Linked DNA regions of Elephas maximus indicus. The protein of the gene in region 1 interacts with the protein of each later gene in a pairwise test. Links are inferred from orthologs where the notes say so. Each region holds a gene or a part of one and is shown in the gene's direction. Other genes may lie near its edges.

What was found.
Region 2: the proteins of THAP1 (region 1) and tripartite motif-containing protein 26 interact in binary tests that used the Homo sapiens proteins (3 or more experiments, as listed by UniProt). The two-hybrid records come from large-scale screens. The link is inferred for Elephas maximus indicus from reciprocal best matches to the Homo sapiens genes THAP1 and TRIM26.
Region 3: the proteins of THAP1 (region 1) and PHF1 interact in binary tests that used the Homo sapiens proteins (3 or more experiments, as listed by UniProt). The two-hybrid records come from large-scale screens. The link is inferred for Elephas maximus indicus from reciprocal best matches to the Homo sapiens genes THAP1 and PHF1.

The regions. Positions count from the first base shown.
Region 1 is NC_064840.1:57,592,927-57,596,673, forward strand, and holds the start of THAP1 (THAP domain-containing protein 1), read left to right. Parts: upstream 1-1,160; 5' UTR 1,161-1,407; coding exon 1,408-1,478; intron 1,479-3,747. UniProt on the Homo sapiens protein: DNA-binding transcription regulator that regulates endothelial cell proliferation and G1/S cell-cycle progression.
Region 2 is NC_064819.1:89,895,791-89,899,537, reverse strand, and holds the start of tripartite motif-containing protein 26, read left to right. Parts: upstream 1-1,014; 5' UTR 1,015-1,636; intron 1,637-3,747.
Region 3 is NC_064819.1:96,234,800-96,238,546, forward strand, and holds the start of PHF1 (PHD finger protein 1), read left to right. Parts: upstream 1-1,343; 5' UTR 1,344-1,864; intron 1,865-2,574; 5' UTR 2,575-2,592; coding exon 2,593-2,751; intron 2,752-2,841; coding exon 2,842-2,923; intron 2,924-3,034; coding exon 3,035-3,130; intron 3,131-3,573; coding exon 3,574-3,677; intron 3,678-3,747. Other genes in the region: kinesin-like protein KIFC1, read left to right, coding at 289-333. UniProt on the Homo sapiens protein: Polycomb group (PcG) that specifically binds histone H3 trimethylated at 'Lys-36' (H3K36me3) and recruits the PRC2 complex. Involved in DNA damage response and is recruited at double-strand breaks (DSBs).

The DNA.
Region 1 (3,747 bases):
CCAAGCTGACTCCAAGGTTTCTGGCCTGAACTGCATGGATAATTTACAGGTAATGAGAATACCTAGGCAGAACGAATTTACATAAGAAGTAAAAGATTGAGGAAGTTATGGCATTTGATTCAAGAATCAGAGTGTTCAGAGTGCAAGGAGGGCAGAGGATTGAAACCCCAACATTTAAGAAGAGCAGAAAAAGAATGTACGAGCCATTAAATTAATCAGTTGCCCCCTATCCAGGCTTTAACCTACATAGAGGAGAGGGGCGGGTACGGGAACAGTAAAATCAGGGCTGAGAATCTGCATGTCTAATAAGCTTCCAGTTGATGCTAATGGTGCTGGTTAGCAACCAATTGTGAGAACCACCAGTTGAGCAGTAGTTCTCAAACTTTATTATGTAAGAATCACCTAAGGATCTCATTAAAATGTAGATTGATTCAGAATACCTGGGGTGAAATGGGTGGGTGGGGGTGTAAATGCAACTTCACAGCAGGGGTCTGAACCGGAACCAACGGGTTCAAAGCCCTGGGTAAAACCACTCTCCACGTGGAAATCGCTGCTGCCAGTGGCGATTTCCAAGGCAGCGCCTGGGAACCCTGCAGCAAAAGCCAGCCGCGGGAAACGGAGCCGCTTCCAGAGAAGTCCAGAAAGAGGATCCGGCTGGTACGTGGGGGCTGTGCGTGTGGCTTCTTTCATCGCTAAGAATCTGTCACATGGACTCTCACAGATCCTTGAGATGCCTGTACAGACAGGTAATAGGATACAGATTAGGGGTCAGAAAAGGGGTCCACAAAATCGTAAAATCGTCTGTGGCGTACCTTTTAAGAAAATGGGCTCAATTAAGACTTTGCTCCCCAGCCTCCTTTAGGCCACCAGACCCAACAAGCTGTACTGGTCCCACACTCCAAGCCGCCCCAGGAAAGCTCCGGATAAGTAAGTCTACGGAAACTCCACGACCGACAGGAGCTCGGCCCACGGCTCACCTTCGCCCAGCCCCTTCCCCGCCCCCAACGGCTCCCTTCCTCCCGGCAGGGATCTCGGAGGCCCCGCCCACTTCCGCAACGCAGAGCTCGCTGCGCGAGACGCCAAGCCTCAGCCAATGGCCTGCTCCGCAGGAAACGTTACCTCTGACCTCGGGGGCTAATCAGAGGCAGTGGGACGAACTCCTCGCGATAAGTGAAGTTGAAGCTGCCTCCGCCATCTTGGAGATGGGAGACGGGCGATGGCTGTGGTCTTTCTGCTAATGCAAACAACAAAACGGGCACATTAGTCACACCCGAGTGAGGCTATCATCACTTTATCTGTTAACCAAAGCTACAGAAGAAGCGAGAGTGTCAAAATCGACCGCGGGGATATTGATAGCTTCACCTGCCTGCGGTGGCGGCAGAAGTGAAGTGACTGAGTACCGGAAGGATGGTGCAGTCCTGTTCCGCCTACGGTTGCAAGAACAGATACGATAAGGATAAGCCCGTTTCTTTCCACAAGTAAGTACGCTGCGCTCCTCACGGGACATACCCCAGGTCGGGCTAGGGGCGCGCGGCCGTTTAGGTTCGGGGGCGGAGCCCGGCGCGTGCCCGCGCGAGGGGTAATGAGGCGGGCGGGGAGCGGTGGGCGTGTCCGGACAGGGAAGTGTTGGGGAAGCGCCGCTCCGAGGCCGGCGCTTTTCGGTTCCGGGCTGGGCGGTCTCACCGCGCGTCGCCATAGCGACCGTTTCTCGCGCTCTTAAAATCCGCGGAGAAGGCAAGAAGCGCTTGTGGCTTCGGGTTGGCGAGTTCGAGGCCGGCTCATAGCGACAGGGGAACTGCCCCATAGAGTTTCCAAGGAGTGGCTGGTGGATTAGAACTGCCGACCCTTTGGTTAGCAGCCATGGCTGTTAACCACTGCGCTACTGGGGCTCCACAAAAAACAAAATAGAAGTTACTGTTTTTGGTCCTTCAGAAACTACTGGGAACGGGAGGCCAGAATCACAACAATTGAGGATTAATTTTTGACTGGAGTTTTAGGGAAGATTTTTTAAAAATTGTACATATGTATGTAATAAGTCGCTTGCTATTTCAGCATGCTTTACAATTTCAACATGCATGTACTGTTTCAACATGTATGTACAACTCAATTACACTAGTTACGTTTATTATGTTCAACTATTACCATTATGCATTTCCAAATGTCCCATCACCTTTAACAAAAGTTTAGTATCTGAGGGAGGATTTTTTTGGCTCAACATCTGGGAACCAGCCTTCACTCCTGTCTGAGTCATCTAGTGCTGTTATAACAGAAATACCACAAGTGGATGGTCTTAACAAAGAGAAATACATTTCCTCACAGTAAAGTAGGCTAAAAGTCCATATTCAGAGTGTCAGCTCCAGGGTGGGTCTTTCTCCCTCTGTCGGCTCTGGAGGAAGGTCCTTGTCCTCAGTCTACCCCTGGTCTAGATGCTTCTCAGGTGCAGGGACCCCGGTTCCAAAGGACGTACTCAGCTCCTGGTGCTGCTTTTTTGGTGGTATGAGGTCCCCCTGTCTCTCTGCTTGCTTCTCTCTTTTATATCTCAAGAGATTGCCTCAAGACATAACCCAAACTGGTAGGTTGAGTCCTGCTTGGCTAACACAACTGCCGCCCATCCTCCCTCATTAATATAGAGGCAGGATTTACAGCATACAGGAAAATCACACAATACTGGGAATCATGGCCCAGCCCAACTGAAAACACACATTTTTGGGGGGACATAATTCAGTCCATGACAAGTCTAAAGTTTTAGAGAACACTTGTGGCACTGCTGAGATGAATAATTATCTTTACAGCACACAGTAATCGTAAAAATGGACAACAATAATAACCTAGACTGCAATAAAGTACCATAAAGTCAGTGTGATCTCTATGGGAGCATAGAGAAAGCCTTCACAGAGGAACGCACCGCACAGCTGAAATTCAGGACTATTTCACCCAGTAGGTGCCACAGTTATAGTACTACGGAGGAAAGTAGGAAAAGAAAACTGCAAAACTGAAATGAGGTAGTGTTAATTAAATGGCTAAAAAATGTGACAACAGTTTCATTCAGCCAAGATTAGTATTTACAGATTTTATTATGTTTGCATTATATATTTTTTTGCAAGAATTCCTGAATATATAGGGATGATACCTAAGAAAGTAGAGCCAATAGTAAACTATACGCATTGTTGAGTCAAATAATTACAAAAGCAAATATTTAAGCATGCCTTCAATTTAGGGAGAGGGGGCTGTTTATGTTTAATGGAGGACTGGATGGATTTTTCTGTGTTTGATATAACATGGGTTGGACCCTACAGAAATAGGAGTACCTAGAGCATAGTGTTGCTATGAATCAGAATTGACTCCATGGCAGTGGATTTGGTTTAGTTTTAGAGCATAAAAAGATCTTGAGAGTGTTAATATTTTCCCATGAAGAAGGGAATAGAACACTTCCAGAATTCAGTTCAGTAGATTTGATCAAGATCAAATCTCTTGATTTATTGGAATCTCTGAACCCTGATGAAATTGACCTCCAGTACTTTAAAATTATAGGAAGGGCCAGGAGATAGTGACAAGATGTCATGCATTCTGCCCCCACCTTCCTAATGATATGGCAGAGGGAATCTATACCCATTGCTGTCGAGTCAATGCCAACTCATAGTGACCCTATAGGACAGAGTGGAACTACCCCATAGGGTTTCCAAAGAGCGGCTGGTGGGTTTGAACTGCTGACCTTTTGGTTAGCAGCCATAGCTCTTAATCACTGCA
Region 2 (3,747 bases), on another chromosome or scaffold:
CTCTAAGATATATATAACAAGGACAAGAAATGTAACCGAGTAAGCCATTTACTTGAGATAAATCTACTCAACTGCAAAGGGTTTGGTGTTTTGGTTTTATAGGTAGACAATACAGATACCTTCACCAGTTTTGATTCTCTAGAGAGCCCGGCCTAAGATAGTGACTGCACGTGTGTCAGAGTAGTACTGGGCTATACAGGGGTTTCAACTGCTTATTTTTTGTAAATAGATCAGGTCTTTCTTCCAAGGCACCTTTGGGTGGACTTGAACCTACAACCTTTCAGTTAGCAGCCAAGCGCCTTAACTGGTTGCACCACCCAGGGACTTAACTCCTTAAACCCAGAGTAATTCCTACAAATTTCGCCAGCCCCACAGGGGAGGGACAAGCCAGGCAAGTAATAGGATTTACGGCCCTGAGCTCACCCCATCATGAACACCTTCCCCATACATAGCTGCAACCCTCTTCTCACCCAAGCCCAGGCTGCGGGGCGGGGCGGGGGGGAGCGCCAAGGGACGGATTAGGAACCAAAATCGCGACCTGTGCCCCACCCCTCTCCAGTCCAACCTTTAGGGCAGGGCACTGGCTGACCCCGAGAACCTTCCCACCCAGCTCGTAGCTGCGCGCAGTGGAGACTGACGGATTTTTATGCCGTGGTGCCTGGGAACCAGCAGCACCTGGTGGCCCAGCAACGGAACTGTGTGCCGCGGCAGCAGACAAAGCAGGAAGCAGGCGCAGACTGGGCAGCAGGGACGATTGCGCGTGGTCTGTTTCCGGGGCCGAGGGCGGCTGGGACGCGCCGAACCTGGTGAAAATTTCCCCATGGAGGACTCTGGGAACCCGAGTCCGGCTCTGTAGTTTCAGAATTCAGCGCGGAAACAGGTCTACTCCCAAGCTCTCGGAACCTCAGTTTTCGCTTCTGTCGAGTGGGGATGACAATGCCTGCTTTATTTAAGGATATAAAAAAAAAAAAAAAAAGCGCGTTACTCAGCGTAGGCGCTCCATAAATGGTAGTTAATTTTTATAAACAGCCCCCTGAGGAAATTCGCTTGCTGTGCTCCTGCCTGGTCCGGGAGGCCAGTTTATGCGGCGTTGGGGGCCAAGAGTCGGATCTCATGTTCAGCACCCGGCGAGCGCCACTTCGCACTCATTCAGCCCCAGGCCGGAATCGGAAGGCGAGGGTCTCAGGAGAAGGGGGAGATTCTTGCACCCTAGAGTCCTCCACCGGGGATTCATCGGGCCCACTAGGCCTCAGAACTCGGGTCCCTTTCGCCTGTAACAAGGGAGCCCGAAACACACGCCGAACTCTGGCGGCGGTTTTTGCTCAGCCACGTCTCGGCGAATTTCAGTTTCATTTTTTGGCCACCGCTGCCCCACACCCCTCACAATCCCGGGTATACGACCGGTGATCGTGACGTAGAGGAAATTCAGGTTCCGATTGGTTGGCGCGGCTCGGCAGGGACCAATCCTGGGGCAGGCCCGGGAGAAATCTCGCCCGGGTGCCCTGGAGAGGCCGGAGATTGCGGGGCGGGGAGGCGCTGTTGCCCTGGCTGCTGGCAGAGCACCCGGTCCCGGAACACACTGCCGCTGGAGAGAAGCGATCTTAGACCCGCGTTCGTGGCCCGAAGCCCCGGACCGGTAAGTAGGGGGCTTCCGATGAGAAATGCAACAACACAACAGTCTCAGACACGCGCCCCGGAGTTTGGGGCGACCGGACGCGGACGCCGGGCCTCGGGGGCAGGACCGGGCCGGGCTGCCGGGCAAGCTCGGAGGTGGGTGGAGTCCGCCGCGCGCACCCTCCAAGCCTAATCCCTCCTACTGCTTTTCCCTCTATTACCCTCAGTTCGCCACTTCCTCTTGGGTCTCCCTTGTCTTTCCATGTCCAACTCAGGCTCCGATCCGTGCTGTCTCTGGAGCCAGAAGTAAGCGGGGCCGGGATGACGGTCTGGTTGCTTGGAGCCTGAGAGATAGACGGCCAACCGGGCTCCTCTAACTCTGAAGTCGTGGTGTCTTTGCATTTTTTTTTTTTTTTTTTTTTCAGTCAGAATAAACCGGTTTGGCCAGATCTGCCTGGAGCTGTGCATTCATTCCTTCTCCAGCCCGTGAGCACTCCCGCTGATTTTCTCTGTGTTTGGCTTTAAGACCAAAAAAAAAAAAAAAAAACCAAACCCACCCGCCATCGAGTCGATTCCGAGTGTGTAAATTTTCCTATGTAGGGCACATGGGAGGTAAGCACTTCCCCAAGTTCCCACTACACTCCAGATTTTGACACCGCAGCAATTAGTGTGTGCATCAAAAGAGGGGAGAGTGTCGCCCATGCAGCAAATATCAGTGTCAGGCACCGTGCCTAAGCCTCATGGCTGTTAATTAAGATCATAATCCCTAGTTCCATTTTTTTTTTCCTTCCTAGTCTAAGGGGATCGTTTTTGAAAAATAGACTTTACTTTTTAGAGTATCAGGAAAATTGAGAAGATAGTACAGAGTTCCCAGATATTATCCCACAATTTTCCCATACCCAGTTTCTCCTGTTTTTAACATCTTACATTAGTGTGGTACATTTGTTGCAATTAATGAACCAATATTGATGCAGCATTATTAACTGATGTGTGTAGTTTACTTGGAAACCCTGGTGGTGTAGTGGTTAAGAGCTAAGGCTGCTAACCCAAAGGTCGGCAGTTCAGATCCACCAGGCACTCCTTGGAAATGTTATGGAGCTGTTCTACTCTGTCCTATAGGGTCTCTATAAGTAGGAATCGACTGGACGGCAGCGGGTTTGTAGTTTATTCACACTTCCTTACTTTTTATCAAATATCCTTTGTCAGTTTCATGATCCCATTCATGATCCACATTAAATTTAGTTGTCACGTCTCCTTACACCCCTCTTAGCTGTGGCAGTTTTTCAGATTCTATTTGTTTTTGATGATCTTGACAGTTTTGAGGGTGGCACAAATGGTTTGTGCTTGAGCCAGAATCGGCTCAAGGGCAGCGGGTTTGGTTACTAACCAAAAGGTTGGTGGTTCAAATCCACCTGGCAGGGCCACAGAAGGAAGGCCTGGCGATCTGTTTCCATAAAGATTAAAGCCAAGAAAACCCTGTGGGGCAGTTCTACACTGATACATAGGGGATCGCCAAGAGTCAAACTTGACTCAATGGTGACAGGTTTGGTTTAGTTTTCCTGTTGGTCAGGTATATTGTAGGATGCCCCACTATTAGAATTTGCCTGATGTTTTTCTCATGGTAAGACTGGGGTTATGGGTTACTGGTAAGAGTACCCTTCTCACCACATCATATCAAAGGTGAACATTATCAACATCACTTCTCATGCTGATGTTAACCTTGAACACCTGGCAGAAGAAGTGTTTCCCCACCCCCCCCCTTCCATACTGTAAGAAGGAAGTTATTATGTGAAGCTCACACCACACCTAAACAGTGGGGAATTATGCTGCCCCTCCTGAGAGCAGAGTATCTACATAAATCACTTAGATGCTGCAGGAGAAAGCTACCTTTCCTCTCCCATTTATTAATTTATTCAGTCATTTATTTGTATCAATACGGACTCATGAATATTTATTTGATACTTTGGTTTATCATCTAATACTATGTCATTTATTTTGTTGCTGAAGTTATTCCAGCTTTGGCCACTGGGAGTTTCCAGTTGACTCCTGTGCTCTGTCCTGGCATGTATTTTTATAGCATTTTTTGCTATTGAGAACACTTTTTTTTTATGTGACCTCACCTCAGACAACTTG
Region 3 (3,747 bases), on another chromosome or scaffold:
TGAGTTTTTCAGATCATTCCAAATAGTGTAAACTCAGGTTCCAAACTCCATGAGGGTCAGCTGGTGGCCATGAATTCTCGAGGAGACTTATGTTCTCTCCACCAGTTGGTGTGCCTAGTGGGCATCAGAGAACTTACTAGAACTAGAACAAGCCTAAGCTTACATCCAGAACCCCTATTTCAGTATTCACTGAAGGCAGCCATAGCATTAGGGGATGTAAGGAGGTCTCAAGAAAATTGTTCTTTTTGTTACTCCACAAATTGTTTTATCCTGTCCATCTGCCCACAGGTGAACCAGTGTGTTATTGGTACTGCCCAGGCCAACAGGAAATGAAAATGGACCCAGATCCTGTGGGTGTGTGTGTCTGTCCATGTGTGCCCAAGTTTTGTGCCCATGTGTGTTTTGAGGGAGAGGGTTGCTGAGGGATGCTTTATGGGAGGGGAGGGGTGAGGAAGGCTGTTGTACCTGGGCCTATCAAATAAAGAATTTTTTTAAAAAAAAAATAAAGGTTTTATTAGCAGATACCCAAGGAGGGAGCTATTTTTCATACATCTAAGGATGGGAACTGTGGATCTGTCCACTCTGCCAAGTGTGTGTGTCTTGTGGGGTGAGGGCTGCAGTTTTTCTCTCGGACAGGTCTCCCGCTGGAGTCTGAAGGGGACCTTCAGTTCTTTGTGGTTCTGTACCCTGGTCTGGCCCATCTCTCTCTCACCTAACGTCCCCTCCCCCATCATAAATATCAAGGAGGTGCGCCTACTAGCTACCCCACAGCCCCGTCATGGTCACCCCCACCGTTTCACCCACACCATCAGCTACCCCAACCCCTGGGAGAAAAACTCCTTTGGTGGATGTGGGAACAGGAATCGAGGGGCGGGGACTAGGCGTGCACTGGGCAAACTGCTGGCTCTTCCCGCCCTTTCCCTGCCTTCCTGTTCGAATCGCCAGGGTTCTGCCCTGTGCCCGTTCATTGGCTGACTCTCCGTGACGTCACTGGTATTATCTCTCCTCGTCCTTGCACTAGCCCTCAAAGCCCGGGGCGGGACATACAGGGGAAGCGGGAGCGCGCGCCCGCCGAATCCCTCGCGCCAACAGCCAACGGCCACCGCCCCGTAAAGGAGGGGCTCAGTCTTCCCAGGTGCCGCACGCGGGAGGGGCCACGCGTGCGCAGAAGCGCGGCGGGGGGGGGACAACTTGCCTTGGAGAGGGCGGGGCCGAGGGCTACGGCGAGAGGAGGGCGGGGCACTCAAGGGGGAGGGCGTGGCGAGGGCAAGGGGAAGGGTGAGTGGTGGGCGGGGCCATGACTAGGGTCAGAGGGGCGGGACTTTGAGTGACCATGTCCGGGGGGGGGACAGTTAATGGATGTGGCATGGGGCCTGGCGCCAGACCCGAGGCAGACTGCCGGGAGGGGGGATTCCCTCCTGCCCCGAGGGCGGGTCTCCCGTCAGAGGAAGGGGCTGTGGGGATTCCCTCTCCCTCCGGGTCCGACTGTCCGCCCGACCCAGCTGCGAAGGGGTCGCCATGCGTTCAGCGCCCTCCAGGCTTGCTAGAGGTGAGGGAGGTGGGGTGAGGTGGTGCCCGCCCCCCCGGCTCCTCCTTCCCCCCGGCCCTCCCCTCCCACCACCCTCCCCCTAGTCGGTCCGTCCCTCCCCTCCTTCCCCCCGCCGCCTCCTCCTGCCGCTGCCGCTGCTTTGGCTGCTGCGTCATACGCCCCAGAGCTGCCGGGACGGAGGGGCTGGGCCTGGGGACCCCCCGGCCTTTGCCTGCACGCCCTCCGACGCCCGGACGTGCCCTCCCCGCGCGAGGGGCTCGCCTTGATCTCCCACGGCTGCTCCTGCCCGGCTCCCGGCGGCCCCAGCTGTCACCGGTAAAGAGGCGGCGAGAGGCGCCGGTGGGGGGCAGGGAGCCGGGGGTCGGCGCGCAGGGCGCGGGCGGGAGAGCCCACACCGCCTGGGTATCGGGTTGGCCAGGCCGACTCAAGTCCTCTCTCGGACTCGCCGGTCGTGGGGAGTAGAGACCGGGATGGGACACGCCCCCTCTGGGGGCACTCAGGGAAGTTATCTAACCCGGGGGCAGGGAGCCCCGAATTTGAGAGTGACCTGACATAACCCGGCACCAGAGTGATTGTTCTGAATGAGACACGAGGGCCTGGGGAGGCAACCGTTTCTGAGAAGCTCTGAAAAACATCTCGAGGAAAGCTCCCCAAAAACATTTCTGGACAACAGAGCACCCCAATTATGACACCTCTAAACAGCATGGGGAAGGTGACAGTAACTGAATAATCTTTGCGTCTGCGACCATCGTTTCCCCTAAAATTTTAAGGCCAGGGTATAATATCCCAGGGGAGCTCTAAAAACTGGGCAACTAGTGAATGAGGTTGTGGAGTGAGGAGAGGTGTTAGGGAGAGGAGAGCAAGGCACCAGAGTTGAGAGGGCTGGAGTCAGGAAGCTGGTGCCCCAGGTGTCTCAGGGATTTAAACTTGAGGGCGAAGCTGCTTGAACTCAGGACAGAAAAATAGGCAAAAATGGGTAAGGATTCTCAGCATTCATAACCTTCTCCTGTCCTATTCCTGGCTAGCCCCCCCCCCAGGATGCAATGGCGCAGCCCCCCCGGCTGAGCCGCTCTGGTGCCTCCTCGCTTTGGGACCCAGCTTCCCCTGCTCCCACCTCAGGCACCAGACCTCGACTCTGGGAGGGTCAAGATGTGTTGGCCAGATGGACTGATGGGCTGCTATACTTGGGGACCATCAAGAAGGTAAGAGTTTTGATCTCTGAGCTGTCACCTTCTTTCCATTCCCCTTATATTTTCTGGCTCCCATTTTATCCTCTGTGCTCACCTTTCCAGGTGGACAGTGCTCGGGAAGTGTGTCTGGTCCAATTTGAGGATGATTCCCAGTTTCTGGTTTTATGGAAAGACATTAGCCCTGGTGAGACCTTAGAGGCCTGAGAGTGTGCATCCCATGGAAACAGAAACCTGGTTTGGGTGGGTGGGCAGGAGGAGGCTTAGGCTGGCCCCCTGACACTGTGTTCCCTCACAGCTGCCCTCCCTGGGGAGGAACTCCTCTGCTGTGTTTGTCGCTCTGAGACTGTGGTCCCTGGGAACAGGCTGGTCAGCTGTGAGAAGTGTCGCCATGGTGAGAAGGCTGGTCCAGCTTGCCATGAGCCTTCCAGGCTGCCTTTCGCCCTTTCTCCTATACCCATCCTTATGCTACCTGTCCAGTCTGAGTCCCCAGGTCACTTCAGTCCCCGGGTCACTACTCTGACCAGTCTCCTCAACCCTGTAACCTTCCCCTGTTCCAACCCAGGGAGAGGCAGCCATGGAATGGGGGATGGTGTGGACTTTGCAGGTAGAAGGTGGTTTAAGTACACTCTCTTCTACAGTCATATGACCTTGGACAAGTCCCTTAACCTCTAGGAGCCTCAGTTCCCTCACCTGTAAAATAAGGATAATAACTACCCCTCCCCTCCAGCAGGACCACAGACAAAGATTGAAATGGATAAGACTAATCCTATCCAGGTGCCTAACACAGGTCTGCACTATAATAAGTGGTCTATTGTCAACATTATCATTATTCAGCTTATCACCAGGACTGCCACGTTCCGAGGGCGCCAGCCCCTGGAGAGGGAGAGGGTCCATCTCCCTGGGTCTGCCGCCAGTGTGTCTTTGCCATTGCCACCAAGGTAAAGGTACCTCCCTGTTACCCCTACTGAACTGGCCCTTTCTGTGGGAACTCCCCCATCCACAGACTCT